Linked DNA regions of Diceros bicornis minor. The protein of the gene in region 2 purifies or fractionates together with the protein of the main gene of each other region. This does not show direct contact. Links are inferred from orthologs where the notes say so. Each region holds a gene or a part of one and is shown on either strand. Other genes may lie near its edges.

Region 1 (6,995 bases), on a different chromosome or scaffold from region 2:
CATCCCACAGTCCAACATGACGTTCTTGCCCGCAATGGAGACCAGGATGCAGCTTCGGCCCACATCCTGGCCGGCCCCTGCACAGGAGAGTGAGTTAAGAGGCGCTGCCTGCCCTTCTCCCTTCCCCCCGGCCCCTCCCCTGCTCCTGCAAGCAATGGCCCCAGCCCCAAGGCCAAGGCCCAGCCACCCGCCCCAGACCCCACGGGGCGCCCTGGGTCCCTGGCCCAGTAGAGCCCTCAGGAGACTGGGGAAATGGCCCCAGGGATGCAGTGTGGACGACGTGTGAGCCAAGAAGCATCACCACCTCCACATGCGGGCAGGCAAGGGACAAAGCGTCAAGGCCACCAAGCGAGCTCTAGTCCACATGCGCCTCTGCCACTACTGCCCAGGGTCAGGTAGAAGAAGCCCCTGACCTCTCAAGGTCACCGCCTTGACACTGAGTCGTGGGTGCTAGACTGTGGTCTCAGCACCAACAGAGGCAAGCCGGGGCTCTGTGGAAACTCACCATCCCTCCTGAAACCTCGGCTGGGGTCACATCTGGGCTGTGATGCCCCCTCTCCCAGGACCTGCCCCCAAGAGGGGTCAGGCGCCTCCTGGTGGTGCCACTGCAGAGGGACACCTGTGTGGCTTTAGCCCTCAGCCCAGGGGAAACATGGCCCCAGCTGTCCAGCGATGGCCAACTATGGTGGCCACAATGCAGACACCTCACCCCAGGGCACATGGGCGACACGAGCTCACCACCGTGCCCCTCACGGCGGCCCCCCAGCCCAGACCGTGACTTAAGTCCCATCCACATTCCTGACCTCCAAGCCCTGCCCAGATGCTCCAGGCAGTGAAACCTCCCCCTGGCAGGGCACATCCTGGCCACCTCATATGGCCATCGGTCACCTCCTCTGGAGTCTGGGGACCCAGAAGGAAAGGGACACGGTCTTGCAAGCCCTGATGACACCAAATCACCTGGTCTCCATCTTGAACCCTACCAGCCTCCCTCTGCCGGCCACCTGAACCTTCAGGTAGCACCACACACACCAGGGTGACCAGGCCACGGCCCAGAGTGGGACATGGGCTGGTCCTCGAGAAGCTTCAGTCACCTGTGAAAACAGCAGATGACACCAGCCAAGAGCTTCGCCTGCCTGCCTCAAGCAGCCCAGCCACAGGTGGCAGCCTCCAGGTCTCTGACAGGCCTGCTGCTGTGCCCACTAGGACGTGCCTCCCTGAGGGCAGGATCTCAGCTGTCTGCCACCTGCTGCACCTCCAGCCCAGGAGTCATGCCTGGCTCAGAGACCCTCCAAACATTTGTGAGAGGGGAAGGGCCACTCCTCTTTACAGATGACGTGGAGCCACAGAAGACACAGGATTGACCCACGGGCACATGGCTCCTAAGCATGGGGCCAGAGACCGCGTTCTAGATTTCAGAGCCCAGCTCTTAGGCGCTGGCTGCCTGGTCCCAACAGCACCCACAACAATCCCAGGGAGCAGAGAGAGTGGCTGAACTGGGCAAAAGACGTGGGGGACAGAGTCGAGGGCACACAAGAGGGGGACAGGACTCAGGAGAAGACAAGGGAGACACTCTGTCTGCGGGGAGCTGACGATCCAGGGCAAGGAGACAAACGACAACCACGTAGGTAGGACACACGCTGAGGGCGTCAGGTGGAGATCAGCACCATGGAGAAAAGTAACGCAGGAAAGGGGACACAGAAACTTCCAAAACCACGACAGGCAACTCCTCCCTGAGAAGACAACTTGCGAGCAGAGTGGAGAGAGACAGCCAAGATGGGAGGAGCAGCTGTGCAAAGGCCCCGGGAGTGACCCGGCAAGACTCTCCAAATCTGGCCCAGGTGACCAGGGAGCCCTCAAGGCAGAAACTGGTGAAGGGAGAGAGTGGAGCAGAAGTGTTTCTGCTTTGATGGCGCTGTGGCTGAGCGACCTTTGGGGTGCACCTAAATGCAGATTTGGGGTAAGAGAACAGTAAGACAATAGGACTGTTTAAGGACAGTGAGTGGCGAGAAGAGGGGCCACATGGGAAAGGGGCTGGTAGGAGGGTCCCACAGAAGCCCCTGGAGAGAAGCCAGGGGCAGGAGAGGGCACGGGGCGGTGGTGACCCCGTACCAACAGCTAGGAGAGGCCATGGGGGTGATGATGCGTATAGCAGCATGGAACGTGCAATCTGACGCAGCAGGCCAGGGGCAGGGGCATTCATCACGGTTGTCAACAGCTCAATATCCACACGAAGGGCAGGGTGGGCTATTCCAGGGAAGACCTCACACCCTGAGAAAGCACGTGGAACCGTGTGGGACATCTGTACAGGAAGATGCTGGCAACACAGGGCCCAGTGAAGGAAGCAGGCTCCCAACCAGTGCATGCCATGCATGCACCAACAACGCCCAGAGACGCCGGGAGGGCTGGCGACCTACACGATCACCCTAGTTGTTACTAGGACCCTGGATTCTGAGTGGTCTTTCCTCCTTTGTACTGTCTTGTACTGCTCGGGCTTTTAAAAGTGCGCATCTATACCTTTTACAAAAAGCAAAACAATTTTTTTAACGTGGCAAAAATCAAGTAAAACAAGGACTGAACCGAGGGTGGGTCTCCAGACTGCGCACGTGGGAGGCTGCAGGTGACCGGGCGGGGACGGACAGAGCGGGTGGCAGGAGAGCGAGCGGTGAGGGCAGAGGCGCCAAGGGGCCTGGCGCGCCAGCCGCGCGCGAAGTAAGCCGAGCGCGGGCGCGGCGAGGACGGAGACCCTGTGCCTCCACGGCACGCCGTCCAGGGGCCAGGCCCGGGGAGGGCTGCTCGGGCGATCCCGTCCTCCCTTCACGGCCGGGAAGCGGGCCGGCCCGGCCCGACCCCGAGCCCACCCGGCGCGCTCCCCGGCCCCTCCACCGGCCGGCCCCCGCCCGCCCCGCGCCCCACTCACCCAGGGGTGTGACCCTGATGTCGGGCATCCTGCCGTCCGCGCCCCCGGCCCCTCGCCTCTGCGTTCCCAGTCAACCCCACGAACCCAGCCGCCGAGCGCGACCCGCGACGACGCACTGCTCAGGCGCAGCCCCGAGGCGCTGGCTTCCGGTGTGCCCGCCGGAAACACGGGCCCGCGCTCCGGGCCTCCTGATTGGGCGGCCGGCAACCAATCCCGGGAGGCGGCGCGGAGGCCGGGGGCGGGGCGCTGGGTTCCCTGGCGGCGGCGGCGGCGGACGTGAGCGGCGGCGGCGGCGGCGGCGGACGTGAGCGGCGGCGGCGGCGGCGGCGGACGTGAGCGGCGGCGGCGGCGGCGGCGGACGTGGGCGGCGGCGCACGTGAGCGGCGGCGGCGGCGGGGGAACCGAGCTCAACCGAACCGGCTGGGCGGGCCTGGGCATGTCCGAGGAGCTAGGCGCGGGACCCCGGGGCGGGAGGGGGCGGCCGAGGACCTGGCTCCCGCGCTGACCCGGACCCCGGGCCCCTGCCCGGTCCCCGGGCCTCCAGCTGGAGCAGGACCCGCTCAGGACCGGGGACCTGCCCGGTGCCGCTTGGAGCCCCCTTCCCGGAAGAGACTTGAAGGACTTCCTGGGCAGGGCTCCGTTCCCACCCCCTAATTCTGGGGTGCCGGGGTGGGTGTCCCCTTCTCTTGGGGGTGTCCAGTCTGCTGGCAGCACAGGGTTCGGATGCTCAGGCCACCCTCGCGCCGAGCCCTGACCTTGGGGCCGTGAATTAGCCCCTGGGAGAGGCTCGGCGGTGCCCTGCATCCTCACCTTCCCAGAGCTGGCCAGCTGCCAGTGCCCAGCCGCATGGTCACTGCCCTTCCTGTTGTTTCCAAGCTCTGAAAGGCCCCTGGCAGCCCCTGTTGGCTGCTGGCTCTGCGCAGGAACTCCAAGCCCACAGGATGTCTGGCGGCTAGGAAGGTAGCCCTGAGGGCCTCAGAGACCATCTGCTTGGTGGACGCAGAACCGAGGCCCAGAGCAAGGGGAGGGGTGTGCCAGAAGTGTCCATAGCACCATCTTCCTGAGGCCGGGCACAGCCGACTCACGTACCTGAAGACAGGGTGAGCTTGCTCTGGGGTCTCCGCCTGATGCCAGACATGCAGCCCAGCCTGTGGGGCCTGCAGGGCCTCAGCACCTGCCAGGCCCCACCAGACACTCCCAGCAGCCTGAGCGGTGGGCAGGACAGGGTGTGCTGGCCCATTTTCCCCAGAGATGAAGGACCAGGTGTCAGGATGGCGAGTGACCTACCCGCAGAGCAGAAGGCAGAAGCTGCCCAGGTACCAGGTGTCCTGCTCTTGGCTGGGGCTCTCGTCACAGCTTGGGCGGCCTCCCTCCCTTGCCAGGTGTCCCACAGGGCTCCAGGCACCAAGGGCACAGGAGCACCCGGGCCCAGTGGGGTGAGAGCTCATCCTGGACGCCAGGTCCCCTGGGCCCGTCGCGTGCTGGCCCTGGGAGCTCAGGGAGGCAGGGGCTGGGGTGCCCAATGGCACCCACTGAACACAGCGCTTGGATGTTTGTGGAGTGAGTGTATGAATGTGAGCAGAATTCAGAGCAGGACTCTAGCCTGTGGCACTTCCGGAAGGTTCTCTGGGGCTAAGGGAGGACCTTGTGGATGTTTTCAGAGTGTGGAAAGATCTTTGGTCCATCCGCCCTTCTGTGTGGGACATGTACGGTTTCAGTAAGAGTGAAAAGACTGGTGTCTGTCCATCCATCCAGCAAATGCTGACCTTGCAGCCTCTGCTCTGGCTTTCAGGATGCAGCAGTGAGCAAGGAATGGTGTGGCCCGCCCCACCACCCTCCCCGGCCCTCCCACCTCACTCCACTGTCTTTTTTTCCATTGTGTTTACCTTCTGTTACCTACCCTGCTGGAATTTCCTGTCTTTGTTATTGTCTCACACCCACCACACTAGAATGTCACCCTGACAAGACAGGGCTGTTTGTCTCACTCATGGTGCACCTGAGTACCTGGAAGAGGGCCTGGCTCTAGGCAGGGACCAAGCAAATATGTTCCAGCTAGTAAAAACAGACACACTCTAGTGAGAGAGACAAACGATAAACAAATAAGCAAGAAACCGTGAGTTGGGATGCTACAAGCAAGATGCAACAGAGTGGTGTGGCAAAGCCTGCCTGACAAGGAGAGGCCTTGCTAAGCTGTCTAGGCACGTGTTCCGGGCAAAGGGTCTGTGGAGTCAGGTTGGTGTGTCTGAGACCGTGTGGCCCAAGGAAGATGAGCTCCTGGGGAGGAGGGGCTGACCTGGGGATGGGGCTTCCTGTGGGGAGCAAGAGGATCCCAGCTGGTTCTTTCCACCGGACCTGCTTCCACCCTCAAGATAACAATCTGAGGAGTGAGATGACTCAGTGAGAAAGCCCCTCATCCTGGCTCCCCTTGTGTTTCAGTTCGTATTGAAAAATGGACGACTTGGAGTCGGACTTCAATCTGAAAGTTGTCTTGGTGAGTTTCAAGCAGTGTCTCGACGAGAAGGAAGAGGTGCTGCTGGACCACTACCTCGCAGGCTGGAGGGGGCTGGTCAGGTGCGTGCAAGGGGCCACTGCCCTGCAGGGCCAGCCCAAAGGCGGGGCTTTCCTGGCCACACTTCCCATGTGCGAGACCTGCAGTCTGCACGGCACGTGGATGCACCAGGCTCCTGCCTGCCCAGGGCCGGTCAGCTGTTCTCACTTGCTGCCTCTGCCTCCAGGTGGACATGTGCCCCAGGAGGCAGGAGGTGGTCTTCCCTGCACCCCAGGCTAAGCTCCTGCTTCCCTTCTTGCAGGTTCCTGAACAGTCTGGGCACCATCTTCTCGTTTGTCTCCAAGGACGTGGTGACGAAGCTGCAGATCATGGAGCGCCTGTGCAGCAGCCCCCAGCGGGAGCACTACAGAAGCCTGCAGTCCATGGTGGCCTATGAGGTGGGCAACCAGCTGGTGGACCTGGAGCGGCGCTCGCACCACGCCGACTCAGGCTGCCGGACGGTGCTCCGGCTGCACCGCGCCCTGCGCTGGCTGCAGCTCTTCCTGGAAGGTCTGCGCACCAGCCCCGAGGACGCGCGCACTGCCACGCTCTGCACTGACTCCTACAATGCCTCGCTGGCTGCCTACCACCCCTGGATCATCCGCCGGGCTGTCACTGTGGCTTTCTGCACGCTTCCCACACGCAAGGTCTTCCTGGAGGCCATGAACGTGGGGTCCCCCGAGCAGGCTGTGGAGATGCTAGGGGAGGCCCTGCCCTTCATTGAGCATGTCTACAACATCTGCCAGAAGCTCTACGCCGAGCACGCTCTGCTGGACCTGCCCTAGGGCCGGCGGGCCCAGCAGGGCAGGCTTCCCCTCCTCCAGAGCTGGGCTGGGGCAACCAGGGCCCGTGAGTCCCACCACGGACCTTTCTGGGTGCCCCAAGAACGGGAAGACCACTGTCCGCACGAGCCAAGCCTGTTGGGAGCCACGGACCAAGTGTGGCCTGTTCTGGTCAGAGGAGGCAGGCGCTGGCCGTCTGCTCCACGCCCGTCCTCTTGCTCTGCCCAATGGCATCTTAGCTTTACCCTCTGCCAGGTGACATGAGTGTCTAACAGGCCTCACCTGGTGCGTGAAGTGCAGAGAGCAGGATCAGTGTGTGTGCAAAGGCCAGAGAAGCTGCCCCCACCTGTGAGTCAAGTCTGTGAGATGGGGTGAGGTCACAGGTCCCTGGAGTACACAGACTCTGTCCTGGTCGCCAGCCGACGACGCTGGTGCATGTCCTTCCCAGGCCCGGGATGTGGTGTCTGTGCCTAGGTGGGCTGCCTCAGGCCCCTCCACACCAGGCTGGCTGTCCCCAGGGCAGGGAGAGAATCCCTGGGCAGCAGTTGGCACTGCAGGCTCCCTCCCTACCCCTCACCTACTTGTTACTAGGGGCACATGTGTCCTCGGCAGTGACAGTGGGAGCTGAGGCCCTGAGTCAAGGCCTCCCTGCCTTTGTAGCCCTCTACACACGTCAGCTGTCCTCTGCAGCCACGCTGTGGCCCCGAGCTCCTCCAGGCATCTGCCTGTGAGTCTGCACCGCATAGGC
Region 2 (7,539 bases):
TCTGTCCATATAAAGCAACCAAAAGTTGTAGTCATGGGAAGAATTTCCCTGAAACTTGTGAAAGTCATGAAAATTGTGCCTCGTGCAACTTGGGAAAAGAACAAAATGTATACCTAAATGTATCATTGTGGTAATAGTGCTTTGTACAACATAAAAACTGAACTCCTTGGGTTTAATATTCCTTTGTTTTGTGTTAACAATACGCATTCTTCAGTATCTTTTATTTTCCAGGTCAGTAATCTCAAAAAAAGTTTTAATGGACCACCTTGCATTATTCTATAGTGAACCATCATGTGATTCAAAGCCCTTGTCTCATAATAAATGAAAGCAAGTACTGCACTCTGGACCTGCCATTTAATTCAGGAATGAATTAAGAATTCTTCCTGTATAGTTGCTTACTGTATATGCTTCAAAAGCTGAGAAATCTTAATGTACTCAACCAGTTATTGCACTCCAGTGAAAATTTCTCACCTCTGAGTAGTTATACAATATGGTTAAATTAAACCCTGACACAACAAATAGAATAATTTCTTCTAACATTTCTCTATTTTATACTAATATAGAAATGAAGACCACTAATCAACTAGTGTATGCAAGTCACTGCAATAGTTGCACAATTGCCTGTGGGTAGAGTATCAGAGAAACTGAGTGTGGTGAGGTAGGATGTTTTCCCTTTTACGTCCTGAGTGAACTTGAAGGGATTAAAACCAAATTCATGTCAACTTTATATCAAAGAATCCAGATTCTAATTCTGAATACAAATACATTTTTAAAACATGAGGGCTATAAAACCACATATAGCATGGTCAGGGTTTCACTTTTGCATTATGTGCACATTCTGTTTTAATCTGAAACGTGTTATACTTGTATTTCATGTTATATAGTTTTGGGGCCGGACTGTGTTTTTCCACAAAAAGAAAAATCAACTGTTTTTCCACCTTAATATTCAACCTACCTGCCCATAGTTGTCTATGCCAGTTACTAATCTATTTAAATTTAATAAATCAAAAGCTGTCCTTAGGGATTGGCCAAGAGTCGTAAGTCCTTCAGCCTGAAGGTTTTTCAGTTCATTCATAAACGTTGCATGGTTTTCTTTCCATCCGGCCTGAAAAGAAAAATGTAAGAATTTTTTTTTCATCTTTTAGAGTCCTGTGTACAAGGACAGGCGTTACAATCTGCCGTTCACCAGGTAGCTGCTTCACTTTACAGTATGGTTTGGTTAACGTGTCAATACCGGATCGCTGCTGAGGGAACTCTCTTCCAAAAGTGGCCAAGAATAAACCTGCTGGCTCTACAGTTTCTGGTAGCGAACAACCTTAACACTTTAGAGCTTCCCTGGGAAATTCACTCCCTAACCTAATACCCAAAATCTGGGGATGCAAAGGTACTAGTGGAAAGCAGAAGTGAGCAGGACTTCGGAAGTTAACCTACAGCTGTCCCACCGGCCCCGCGGCCCTCTCAGCACGAATCCGAAGACCAAGCCGCGCAGCCCCCCACCCCGCTCGCCGGCCCGCCAGCCTGGCGAGCGCGGCCAAGCCTCGGGCCGATGCCCCTTTAATGCAAACCGGGGCTCGGCGCGGCCGGGCCCGGCTGTCACTCGGGCTAACTTGAATAAATATCCCCCACAGTTCATTGCTGCCGCTCACGCCGCGGAGGGGAAATGTCGGCCATGTTGATCGCAGCGCCGCCGCCGCCGCCACCGCCGCCGCCGCCGGGTCGGGCTGGGGAGGGGACGGCGGTGGCCCGGCGACTCTGCGCCGCGCCAGGACGCTCCGGAGCGAGGGGAGGGAGTGGGCGCCCGCAGGGGAAAAGACCTCAGCGCCTGGAGCACAGCGGGTGGGGGAGGGGAGCATAATGAAGGGTGAATGGGGGGGCGGGGAGGGCGAGCGAGGAAGGAACAGGCAAGGGAAGGAAGGGGGAGGGCGAGGGCTGTTACCTTGATAGCATAGGGCGGCTCTTCGAAAGTGACCAGCATATACCTGTCTCCTCGGCTGGCAGGGTCCCGGGCACGGAGCTGCGGGAGAGCGGGTGGGGGACGGGAGGAGGAACAGGGCGGGCGAGAGGGAAGCAGAGAGGCGAGGTTACGAGGCGGAGAAGGGGCGCCCAGCGGCCCCACCGCCCCCCACAGTACCGCACACGCAGCGGCCACCCCTCCGCGCCGCCCCCCGCACACAGATCGGCCCCCACACACCGCCCGGGGCCGGAGCCCGGGCCCGGGCCGAGCCCGGCTCGCAGCGCCCGCCCGCCCGCCCGCGCGGTGGGGGAGGGGGTCCCCGAGCCCGGCGGCTCCCGCAGTCAGGTCCCCGACACCTCCGCCTCGCCGCCCCCGGCCTCCCTCCCCCCACCCCTGCCGCCCGCGGCTGCCGGGCCGGGGTCGCCGCCCGGGCTCGGTCAGTCGGTACCTTCATGAAGGTCTCTACCGCGCCTTTGGCCGTGTCCAGGTAGGTGGTGCCCAGATGGCTGCGCTGGTTCATAGAGGCAGACGTGTCTATCAGGAACAGTAAGATGGGCATAGTGCTGGCCGGGGACACCGGGGCCCGAGGTGGTGGAGCAAGAGGAGATGGTAGAGGTGGAGGCGCCGGTGGCGGCGGCGGCGACCGCCGCTACGCGGGGCGGGGGAGCGCGGCCCCCGGGAGGAAAACACCGTCTGGGTCTTTCCTCCGGCTGCGGGGAGTTTCTCCCCCGATAGTTGAGAGGAAACTCCCCAGACCCAGTCCTCCCCGTCGTACCCCCGCCTCCGCCTCCTCCTGCCTGCCTGCCCGCTGGGGCGGGCGCCCGGCCGTCTGTCTGTCGGTCCGTCCCCCCCGCCTCGGGGGTCCCGTCCCCGCTCCCGGCCCCTGTGTGTGTCCCAGCGGGAGACGGGCCTGGCTCCCCACCCCACCCCCGGTGCAGGGAGTGGGGACCTGGGAGCTGGCGAAGAGGGGAGTGGGCTGAGGGGAGATTGGCCCTGGGGCTGTTGGGAGAAGTTTCAGGGACTCCCTCCGCACCCCGGCGGTGTCACCACTTTCTCAGCCCCTCTCGCTACTGAAGCGCTTTTCTCTCTCACACTCCGGTTTTAACTCGGGCAGGGGCTGCAGAGGCTCCGCCCCCTGACACGTCCTTGAGCCATGTGACGTACCGCCCCGCTATTCTATTGGGCAGTCCCCAGCCTCTTATTAGCATATTCAAACAGCTCAGGGGCGGGGGAAGCTTGTGGGCCGGCTCCGGGAACAGTTATTGAGCACGCGCGGAGGCGGGGCGTCGGGTGCGCGCGAGAGGGAGCGCGAGGGGCTAGCAGGCGGGCCGGGAGACACGGAGGCGGGCTCCGGGAAGGGGCGGGGACGGACCGCGGAAGCACCGCGGGGTGGGGGCGGGGGCCGCGTCGGCGCGCGCAGGGTGGCCGCGGCTGTGAGTCTGCGCGTCAAGGCGGCCGCCCTCGCCTTGGCTGTTGGAGGTGATAGGGGTCGGCGGAAGGGAAATGGAGGCTGGCCTCAGCTCTCCTTCCGACGTCGCTGAAGCGAACCCTTTCCCCGGTGGGCGACTGAGAAGGGGATGAGTGACGTGATCAAACACCCAGTTAGGAGAAGGGGGCAGGGCCGCGGTCGCCCTCCCGGGAAGGGCTGCGAGCCCACGGCATCGGGAGGAGTTTCCTTGGGCCTCGGAGGGCCGGCCCCAGTGCGGGCGGGCCCGGGGCGGGGGAGGGGAAGTGAGAGGTTGTTTATAACCAGGGACTAATCTCCGAGAGTCACACCGCTCCCGCTGGGGAGTGGGGACCAGAGGCGTACCTCGCCCGCAGTCTTGCTTGGCCCTGGGGGAGCGACCAAGGGTAAGGGCTGGAGCTGGAGCAGGGCAGAAGCCCCCCTCGTTGGAGGACCCTCCAAAAAGGGTACAAACCCCCTTCCTAACAGCCCTAAAAGAGTCTGGGGGAAGCCTCAAATATCGATAAACAGTTTGTACCCTTGTTATTCTCAGGGAAAATTAACCGGTGTTACCCAAAGGAATACCTTTCTCAAGCCATGTTTACCTAGGGCCATAGAATATCAATTTCAGAGCTAAAAGGGACCTAAGCCAGTCATAATCCATTACTCTTATTTTAAAATGAAAAAACTGACTTCAGTTTGCCCAGGTAACACAGAGTGTTCCCCATAACCGTGCCGGTGCACTTTCCTTTCACTGTATGGTGTCTCTCGGAGTCGTTCCAAATACTGTATGAGGGAAAACGTTCTCGGTTATTGAAGCAAGCCCCTATCATCATGCCTGGGGTAATGAATCCTCTCTCCTAAATGTCAGAGAAAACGGTTTCCTCAAATATACTCTTTGAAAGACTGAAGACTGCCTGAAATGCAAGTTGAATTAAGGACATACAACCCTTATAAGACCAGGTAGATTTTTATAGGACCTCTTCTACTAGCCTTGCATTTCGATTTTTATATTCTTTATCCTGAAATTTTTAGTTATTTGCCTACCGATCATTTAAAGAAATTGGTCCTTTTGACGTTAACACAGAAGAGACATGGTTTGTGGCACTTTTTTAAAATCTGGAGTTTCATAACTTGGACTTTTACTAATATTTAAGACAACCTATGAAGTTTTTGTTAATTTATAGTAGGGCTATTTCAGTAATATGCTGTTTTGTATGTACCATAGAAGAAGGAGATGTTTTTAAGAGATTTGGACTAGAAATAAGATGAACTACAGGTCTTACATCCAATATTTGCTGAGGACTGGTGGAGTTAAAAAATTATGAAAATATGGTCCCTGCCTTCAAAGAGCTTATGGTTTTTCTAGAAAAATATTACACGTCAATTATTAGCTACTACAAGGCAGAAAGTGATCAGATAGTAAATAATTTAGAAAAGAGAAAAATTTATTACCCTGGGGTGACGAAAGAACAAGTTTCCAGGGTCAGTGTGTTTAAGCGGTGCGTTAAAGCAGTGTTTCTCAAACTGAGATCCTAGACCTAGAGATAAGAATCAGTTCTTTGATACTCTAAAATTTTTGTTTTCATTTTAATGACAATATACAAATCACTTTACCAGTTATAAGGACAAAATTTTTCTTTCAAAGTGATAATTCACATCTGAAAGAAATTTTCATATAATTGGTCTTCAGTTTTCTGTATCAGTGCTTTTCAAATTGTGTTCTATGGACCTATGCCTGTCGGAAAATGTAATCTCTAAAATCATAAGAATTTCTTTTACATTATTCAGATTTGAGAAACACTGCTTTAAAGGATTGGTAGGATTTGAATATGTGGGTAAAGAAAGAGGAAGTTGCTCATGAAAAAGTCCTAGACATTGAAAATGTAGTGAAGAATGAAAGCACAGCATTGCCAATGCTTCCTGGGGTACAGGGAAGTTCAGCTGGGCTGGCGCACCTGGTACACAAAGAATAGTATAAGATCCAGAAAGTAGGTCAAGTCTAGATAGTACAGGGCTTTTATTCCAGGTTAAGGATATTTTTCCATATAAACTAGAGTTTTAGTTGAGGCGCTGAGTACAAAGTAGTGTTTAAAGGAAATCAAACTAGACTACTGAAGTAGGTGAGCATGCATTAACAATGACCTTACCTATTACAGTTATTTGAAATCATTTCCAATGGAGCCATCATGGCTTTTTCTTCCCTGACTCAGGGGAATTGGCAGATTGTCATACTAGGGTCTGGTAGAGCCAGGATTAGATGCAGAGATCAGGAGAGCCAAGTCCAATGAGCCAACCTAGAGCATATAACCACCTAAGATCAAAGGCCAGGTTTCCAGTTCAGAAGCCCAGAAGTGCTGGAAGCCAAAGCCCCGAGGCAGAACAGGAAAGAAATCAGGATGTACACAGGGGGCAAATCAAGAGGCAATCAGAAACCAGGAAGCATTGATGAGTGGTCCCTAGACAGAATTGTGAAATAGGCCAAGGTTATTCTTAGTGACTCTGGTTGACAGTTAAGCTGTTGGTTTGATGATAGCTTAAAGCAGTAGTTCTGGGCCAGGAGATGCACATCAATATTACCCACAGAACTTAAAAATAGTAATAAATATACCAAATCCCCATACCTGGAGGAAAGTGATTCGGTAGAATTGGGATGGGCCCTGGTCATCTCATGCTTTAAAAAGCTCTTCAAGTGAATCTTATAAATAATCATTAAGAACTATATGCTTAAAGTATAAGAATAATGTATGTGCCTAGCATCTAATAGTACTCACTAAATAACTTTAAAAATTCACACCCTCTTAGAGTTATTACATTTCTTAAAAGAACTCCTAAAACAAATCTGCAAATTAAAGGAAAAAAAAAACTATAAATGTGACAGCAATATAGATAACAGTAGATTTGATTCATAAGCGTATTTAAATTGCTTAAATTCTTGACCAAAAAATAAAAAGAAGTAAACAGTGCCAGAGATTCCCACTGTTCCCGTCAGTGAGCTTAGGCCTTGGAGTAAGCATAAGATGTGAAACATGAATCTCTTCTTCACTCAATCTCTGTGATTCCAGAATGTGATTCTAGAAAGATTCTGGTTATATTCAGGCTTATTTTTCTAAAACTTGCAAGCCAACTATTTCATCAGACTCAGCTGAAGAAACTGAGCTCCTGCAGTGCTCGAGGGAGACGTAGTAGGAGTATTGTGGGCTAACCCTGTCCTGTTGCAGTCTAGTGGCTTAGGAAAGATTCTCCTGGGAGGGCAATGATCAGAAGAGGTATGTGGGGGAAAACTTGCTCTTTGCTGCTGTTTTTAAAAAAATGCTGCCCAAATGCTATGCCCCCAATTTAAAAGGGAAGGAATAAATTATAGGAAACCTTCTGAAAGAATGGTGACTCTGGCTTAAACAATAGGCTAAATTGTTGAAATGGAGCTATTCTAACAGAATTAAGAACTGATGAATTAGATTCATTTGTAGGAGCCAACCAGAGCCCTTTTAAATTATTTTAAACCAATTAAGCAGGGCAACACGGTTTAAAAATGATTATGTGCCAATGACTTGGCTTATGGTCTCTGCATGCGCTATCTGAACAGAATAGTCAGATCAACCTAGTGTTCCCTCATGTGTAACCTAACAAAGTTTCTTTTGACTGTCTTACCATTTTCCCAGCTCTCTGCTTTACTCTTTGAGATCACAATAGTCAATGATGTTGAGGTTGAGAACATCAAAAAAACATGAAGCAATAAGCATAAAAAGTTAGATGTGAAATTATGCAGCAGAATGTATTCAGATAGTACATATATAAGGAAATTTAATTTTGGTCATCCTAATATTAAATAGTGTCAATCCTCAGAAAAAAATGCTGCTAGAGACCACTATTATAAAGAAATCAGGGCTGGCCCCGTGGCTTAGCGGTTAAGTGCTCGCGCTCCACTACTGGCGGCCCGGGTTCGGATCCCGGGCGCACACCAATGCACCACTTCTCCGGCCATGCTGAGGCCGTGTCCCACATACAGCAACTAGAAGGATGTGCAACTATGGCATACAACTGTCTACTGGGGCTTTGGGGGGAAAAAAAAGATAAATTAGACCTTTCCAACGAACAGTATTTCACAGAAATAGCTGAAGTCTCAGAAGATTCAAGATCA
Region 3 (7,733 bases), on a different chromosome or scaffold from region 2:
TAGTTTTTAGGCAATCTGAGTTAAAATAGGAATTTAATTTTGAGGGAAAAATCACCACCATATAATGTAACTTTCTATAGAGTAGTATTTCCGACAGACTCCAAAAAATCATGTTATTAAAAAAAAAAGAACTAAAACCTAGTCACAAAGAATTAAACAATAAGGTGATCTACATAATCAGGTTTGACTTTTCACTTTTCTCTTATATTCTTTCTACGCGCCTGCCATTCTTGACCTGGAAGGGTAGAGCAGGTATCAAGTAGACCAAGTGATGGTAAGGTTACTTCACAAAATTGCTACTAATCCCAGTACTTTGTGCTTCAGGTAACAAGGATCACAAGAAATAGTGAGTGAAACTGTATTTTTAACAATTCTAGAGCCACTACATATAAAATCTTTTTTTAAAGTACATTCTCCACAGAGAAGTCACATCATCACATCTATTTCTTTGCATCTTTTTGCAAAAGAAAATGAGGGGACAGATTTAAAACAAAATGAAATAGCTATTTTTATTTAGCTTTTCTTCATTTAATATTCATTGCGTGCTTATTTCTTGTCAGGACTTAACAGGGGTGGTATCTTAATACTCACAACCAACACAGAAGATCAGGAAATTTTATCACCTCTGTCTTACAGATGAGGAATCAGAGGTGCAGGGAGACTGGCAGCTGCCGAGCTGCAGGGCCAGGGTGTGAACTCAGATGGGCTGACCACCAGAGCTCACTGCAAGCAAACAGGACACTCCTCAGGAACATGGAGGATCAGGGTAGGGACGTAAAATGGAACTAGAGCCTAAGGTTAGAAGACAGAACATATATACCACAAAGGGACGCCACAGTTGCTAGAAGAGGGCTGCAAAACCAAGCACTGCTTAAAAAGGTAGAGAGCAAGGAATCCTATCACACTTCTCCACCCACCAGCAACTCCATCAAAGGGGTGGAGGAGAAAGATAAATGATTGTGGATTTTCACGTAAAAACTCATGTTTAGTGGATAAGTACAAATATTCAAAGAAAAAAGTGGGTAAGACATAAGCTTAAACATACCTATAAAGTCCTAGGGATTGGTAGTTCAATTATTTAGGAGCTGAAGTAAAAAATACTCTCGACAAACACAGAAAGCTTCCTCAAGTGATTAAGACTCAAGTGTGACTGAGTAGTGGTACAACATTCCTCTCTAGAAATACATCTCCAAATGATTAGAGCGTCAAAGGGAAAAGCTGACTCAGCTACTGACTGTGTCCATTAACTTGGTGAAGTGCATGTCTATGTTCATAGTGAGGTTAACTGACTCAGCTAATGTCAAAACTGGATATTTCACTCGACACTGGAGCTTGAGAGAGAGAGATTTAAAACGTAAATTTTAAGACATGAAATTATAGGTTATGACTCAAGGAAACTGAATGTCTACTTGAAGCTATAAGCAAACAGTTTTTTCAGAAAAATACCAGTTGTTCAGCAATTCTATTTACAGAAATAAATTTTCCTGTGTTAACAAATAGTTATTTAATATACAAAGGCCCTAGGCGACATTTACTTGTTAAAAACACTATTTTAACTTAATATTAGCTATTACTCCTCCAACCCTAAGATGCTTTATTTTAAGAGTGCCCTATTAATAATACTAACAACATTTCTGGGGCATCCTGACTTCCGAACACTATGATCAAGAAAGTTTTATAGATTATGGCTTAAAAATACAAACAAACCCAACAGCATTAAAGATTAAACTCGTTACTCCTTCCTGGACTTCAAATGAGGTCTTTTAACATATAAATGTATGAAAATTATTTAGTCCAGATTATAAAAGATGAATGAGAAAAACTCTAGACTTTAACGTAAATAAGATAGACCGTCTGAAATAATTCCAGTGGTTAAGAACAGTCGATACAGAATTCAGAATGTTGTTTAAGATCATACAACCAAGAACGACTGTAAACAACTAAAACAAATAAAAACTCCTTTTTCTTCGGAAAAGAAAGCTTTACATGTAATAAAGATGGAAAAGACTTTCTAAAAAGTGCTGCTCTGCACGAAAAATACATACCCCATTTATCATTTCAAGCAAGCACTGTTGCCAAACTTTAGACTTGCTGTTTTATTTCTGAAAATCAACATTTTGCTTCCAAGAGCCACTCAACGCGAAGACCAGTTACCATCTGTTTCAACCAAAGTCAACCTCTATTTTAAAAACCACAGCCTGCCATCACACCCACCTCTCCACAAACAAATGCCTGACGCATTCCAAGGTCGCGATTTTTGAAGGGCCCGATTCACCTGAAAAAAATCCTACGTTTATGAACAGGTTCGTTAATATGAGCAACATCCAGGTTAATTTTCGGTGCATTTTCAGACAGGAGGTCGCATCAGACTAAGTGGCCGCATTCCACAGGGCCGCGCTCGCTAGTCCACGCTGACCTGGAGGGTCAGGAACCCCCAGAAGAGCGTCGGTGACCCCATTCGAGCTCACGCGCGGGTGCCAGGTCTCCCCCGGCCACCCACAGCGGACCCCTGGGCCAGTAACGTGAGCGCAGCGCCCCGGGCCCCGGAACGGCCACCGCCGCCGCCGGGAGCACGGGCCCGGGGCAGGGCGGCCGCCCCCGCGCAGCCCTCCTTCCTCTCCTACCTTCTCGCACAGGGTCCGCACTTGGTTCTCGTTGAGCTGTTTACACTCGTTCAGCTGCTCGACCCACTGGTCCAGCTCCTTGGTGAACGCCTTGTCGTCCATGGCGGCCCGCGGCCCTCCCCCCGCCCCGGCGCCGCTCCCCGCTCCCGCTCCCGCTCCCGCTCGCCGCTCCGGCCGCCGCCGCCAGCTCCCGGCGGGAGAGGAAGGAGCCGGGGCGCGCGGCCGCGGGCCCCACGCCCCGCCTAAGGCAGCGGGCGGCGCCGGGAGCGCGGCCCCGAGGAGCCCCCCGGCCGGCCGCGCGCCCCGCGAGTCGCTGAAGGACGCGGGGCGGTGGGGGGCAGCGCGGCGCGGGGCTTCGGCGCAGCTCCCGCCGGACGATGGCCACCCGCCGGCCACTCCCGGCTCTCTCACCCCTTCGCTCTCGCTCTTTCTCTTCCCTCCCTCCGGGTTTCCGTCATCGCCCGGGCATTTCCGCCGGGAAAAGGGGAGCAGGCGGCGCCGCCAGGGAGCGGGATGCGAGCAGGGCTGCAGCGCCCCCGTGTGGCTCGGCGGAGAAACGAGCCGAGGGTCGCCCCGCTTTCTCCCCCTTCCCTTCTCTATGCCCGGTTCCCGCTTCGGGTCCGGACCAAGCTCTCCTGGTTCTTTCCTCACATCCTTTTCTCTGGGAACTTCGCCCCCACCTTAGTCTTCTGCAGTGCTTTTTCAGCGCTCTGGAGAGGGAATTAGGAAGCTTGTGCCTTTCCTCGACAACATTGTCTCGCCGGAGTCTAGCCCTTTCCCATAGCAAGCATTCAATATTTATTGAGTGAATCAATGAATTCTTTCTAGCCTTATCTCTGCTACTAGCTAGCTGTGGGGCCCTAACATCTCGAATCCCCGCTTTCAGCATCAGAAAGATGAAATGATTGTTCTGTATAATATGAAGCTGTGTTGTGCCAACTTCTTAGCTGTGTCCTTGGGCAATCACCGAATTTCTCCAAGCCTCAGCTTCTCCGTCTAACAGGGCTCAGTAAGGCTTACCTTTTCATGTTGTGAAGATTAAATTTTACAAGTACCCACCCAGTAAGTACAGTACGGGAGCAATGTGTTAGTTGCCTTATCCCTCCTAAGCCACAGTTACAGAAAGCTTTAGAAAGGTGCCATTTGAACTGAATTTTGAACCTTTCCCCAAGGCAAAACTTTGAAGTTGCCTGGAGAAGAGGAAAGAAGTTCCAAGGAATTTTTTTTGTGTGTGAGGCAGAGGACAAATGTGTGATCACGGTCCGTTTGGAAAGCTATACATATTCCTATCAACAGAAATAGGGAAATAAGGCTGGAAGAGCTCCTGCTCTCAACGGACTTGTAAATAGTAGCTAACCAATTGAAGAAGAAAACATGAAGAGGTAACGAAACAACACTGAAGAGAAGGGGCACCTGTATAATTGCAATAGACATTGCAGTCTCTGAGGTTAGTCTATAAAGGTTTAAAGGGGGCTGGATTTCAGCTAACCCTGGAAAGCTCAGAATGAAAATGAGAATGAGAAGGGCGTTTTCAGAGTTCCTAGAGAAGATGGACTGAGAACAGAAAATATACCTTGAGGAGAAATGGGAACTCTATGTTATAGTGGTTAGGGAGGGAGGTCCTTGAAATAAAAGCAAATGTGTTCGGAATAACAAGAGCGGATGTTCTTAGAGTGGAAGATAGGTAGGCAAGCTTGTGAAAATAGTGCTTCTGAAAAGCTTAGTCAACTTACACTGTAGAGCAAATAAAGATGCTTTTTTTTTTTTTTTTTGGTGAGGAAGATTTGCCCTGAGCTAACATCCTTTGGCAATCTTCCTCTTTTTTTTTGCTTGAGGAAGATTAGCCCTGAGCTAACATCTGTGCCAATTTTGTATGTGGGATGCCTCCGCAGCATGGCTGATGAGTGCAGTAGGTCTGCGCCTGGGATCCGAACCTGCAAACCCAGGCCCGCCAAAGGGGAGCACGCAGAACTTTAACCACTTGGCCACGGGGTGGGCCCCGGGATGCTTTTTTGAGTGCTTCCTATGTGCTAAGCGTTTTACATTTGTCTTCTCATTTAATCCTCCAGTAATCCTATGAGACAGGTGCCATTATTGCTCTCCACTTTACAGATGAAGAAAGAGACACACAGAAGTTTAAAAGCACACTCAAGTCACACAGATAGTAACTGGTGGAGTAAGGATTAACACCCAAGTTTGTCTGACTTCTACTCTGTGTTTTATGTTATATGAGCTCTACAGTCTGACGGGAGTAGGGAAAGCTGGAGATTGGTAGACCAGCCAAAGGGCTTGGTGATTGTAATATCAGTTTTTGGTATTTCGGTTGTGAAGCCATCTTAATTAAAAATAAAAACTATAATTCTTAAACTTCTTTCTTTCTTTGCTCTTTGCTTCTGTCATGTATGTATGTATGTATTATGTATGAATATGTTGTGTGTTTTCTCCTGTGGAACATAACCATCAATCTCCAATCCTTGCTAAGCATGTCATGCAAAACTGCATTTAATCTTAGGTTTGCAGGCCAGTTCTAAAGTTCTTTGTTTACCAGAAGTGTTCTCATTTTTACTTTGTTTACCTCTTTCCTTTTGGTCAAAGAATTTTAAAATCGTTGACTTCAGCAGATCCTTTGCCTTAAAATTACATGTTAGATTTTGTTCCTACATAATTGACTAAGTTCTTTTAAAATATATAAACATTGATATTTTTCTTGATTTAAATGGTATTATGCCATTTAAAAGTATGAAATATGAATCATTTATATTTTGTAACATATCCAGAGAGTTATATGCTACATTTAAAATTATATGTTGTATTGGTTTAAAAATGATTCTTCTATACCACCATATTCTCAAAAGACTAAATAAATATCTTTATTTCTAGTTCAAAAACTTTGACAATGGGAATGTGAATACGGTATTATTGAAATTGCTACAGGGAATTCTGCATCAGAATCCCCATCAATAATGATGAGACTAAAAAGACAAAGTCAAATTGGAAATGCTTTCTTTGAATTTAAAAACTATAAATCACTGTTAATAAAAAGACCACAGTTCTTTTCTCCTCTTATCACTCTACCACCCAAAAAACTTGGTTCTAAAAACTCCCTTCAAATTTATTGAGGAAGAGATGGAATTATTTGAAGATAAAGGAATCAGAACAGATGCTGTGTTTAATATTTTGTCCTTCTTTGTTGACCTCAGTTGGAGGCTTGGTTCAAATTCCCTAGCATACCACTGTGGAAGTGGAGTCCTTTATAAACATTTTATACCTAGCTATTCTATATTGTGTATCTGACAATTCCCACACTGCCAGTTCTTAAGTGACTAAAGATGTTTTTCTTGTTTCTGCTGACTCTTACTCATAGTGGCTTGCCTTCTAGTGTGTATGCATTCACAGCTTGAATGGATTGTGACAGTACTGTGGGCCTACCTTGGGAAGACTTTCCTCTAGAAAGTTTGCTTCTGTATCTGCAGAAATATCCAGGAAATATTCCTAAGCCAACACCACTTCAGCAAGAGTTTTGGCTCAGAATAGGAGTGTCAGCTCCCCCACCTCAGTGTCCCTGTAGCAGTGTCTTTGGGAATCCAGCCTCAGAGCAATGTCATTCCTTCTGGCAGCCGTGTTGTTCAGGTGAGCTCCCTGCTGATTTAGTCAGGCCATGGCTCTTGGCCCTGTGGGCTTAGTTTCCAGCTGTTCTGTCCCAAGCATCTAGTTCTTCTCAAATCTTCAGATGGCTCAAGCCCAAGATCCTTTCCACTCCAGCCCATGTCTACCCATTCTGGGCTAAATTCATGCTCGTTTATTTTTGGGAAATCCATGGAGATCTATCCTAATTTGTAAGACCAATGAAGCCTCAAAAAAAAAAAAAAAAAAAAAAAGGTGTCCTGTTCTGGGTCTAGTTGTTTTGGAGCAGGCAGTTCCTGTAGAGCTCCTGGACATTTATAACACTGAAAGTGAAAATCTATGTTTTAAATATTTAAAAATTTGTACAGCCATGTTGATGCTTTTTCCTCTATGTAATAGAATTTTTTGTAATCTCCCGCTGTGGGCTTTTAAAAGCTGAGGCCTACAATATTCTCAAGACTGACACAGCTCAGAAGTTGATTTCTCTGTCACCGTGGAGCTTCCATCCCTCCTCTGAAACCTGGGATACTTCCAAAAATAACTACTGGAGAAGAAGCTGTGGTCACTTCAATTCTGAGAGCCGCTTAATTGCCCCATCATCATAACTTCTGGCAATGGCTTTAATCTATTCTATTCAATTAGTTACTGTTCTCACTTGCCACACACTTTCTTGGCTCCATGCCTTAATTCATGCTTTACATCTACAGGAAGTACTTTTTTTCCTCCTCCATGCATGCATAAACCTGCCTCTATCATCAAGGACAAGTGTCAGGATTATCTTTTTCCATGAAGTCCTTTCTCTTACTGACACCAAAAGGAATTCATCTCTCTTTAAAAATTCATACCTTTGGGTCTGTCCTTTTTCCATACCACATACTTTCTAGATCATGTTGTTTATATGAATTTCTTCTTTCTTATTAGAATATAAATTACTTGACCGCACGATCCATGTATATTACATTTGTGATACCAAAAACGTAGGACAAGCCCTTTAGAGAGTAGGTGCTCAGTAAATATTTGTGAGTGAATTTGAGGAAAGTAGCAAGAATGAAAGTAAACTGCTGGTCTGACTAAAAGGATTAGTTTCAGTATTTAGGATTGATCCACCACTATGGAAAGCCTCAATATTTGTTTCATCTTCTTTCTTTTAAAAGGTACATTTTTGCTTTTGTTATGGTTTTGATGCCATATTTTTCATTCTAGCCAACACTGGTAGAGCAGGGATTGTTAGCAGTCTAGCCAGTACCCACGGTACCTTTCTTAACAATTCTGTTTGTAGTGAAAAATGCCCTGCTTAAAGAATACCTAGGAGTGGCCGTGTGGTGTTATTCTGGCAAACGCACCGTAAGGAGAACTAGCTGAGTGCGGCTCTACGGGAAAGCTTGTTAAAGGGAGTAAACTCAGAATGCTCCTGCCTGGGACTCATTGCTGGAGATGGAACAGCCATTTTGAGGCCACTAGAAAAAAAGCAAGAGGCTACAGGCC

Evidence for each region.
Region 1: the proteins of INTS6 (region 2) and INTS11 purify together in Homo sapiens (affinity purification with mass spectrometry; 3 studies listed by BioGRID, with this or other methods). This does not show direct contact. The link is inferred for Diceros bicornis minor from reciprocal best matches to the Homo sapiens genes INTS6 and INTS11.
Region 3: the proteins of INTS6 (region 2) and PPP2CB purify together in Homo sapiens (affinity purification with mass spectrometry; 3 studies listed by BioGRID and IntAct, with this or other methods). This does not show direct contact. The link is inferred for Diceros bicornis minor from reciprocal best matches to the Homo sapiens genes INTS6 and PPP2CB.

What each region holds. Positions count from the first base shown.
Region 1 is NC_080752.1:22,289,185-22,296,179, forward strand, and holds the start of INTS11 (integrator complex subunit 11), read right to left. Parts: upstream 3,025-6,995; 5' UTR 2,946-3,024; coding exon 2,918-2,945; intron 78-2,917; coding exon 1-77. Other genes in the region: CPTP (ceramide-1-phosphate transfer protein), read left to right, coding at 5,367-5,488, 5,728-6,250.
Region 2 is NC_080748.1:25,856,388-25,863,926, reverse strand, and holds the start of INTS6 (integrator complex subunit 6), read right to left. Parts: upstream 3,010-7,539; 5' UTR 2,514-3,009; coding exon 2,403-2,513; intron 2,015-2,402; coding exon 1,937-2,014; intron 1,106-1,936; coding exon 956-1,105; intron 1-955. UniProt on the Homo sapiens protein: Component of the integrator complex, a multiprotein complex that terminates RNA polymerase II (Pol II) transcription in the promoter-proximal region of genes.
Region 3 is NC_080768.1:28,480,276-28,488,008, forward strand, and holds the start of PPP2CB (serine/threonine-protein phosphatase 2A catalytic subunit beta isoform), read right to left. Parts: upstream 3,025-7,733; 5' UTR 2,727-3,024; coding exon 2,625-2,726; intron 1-2,624.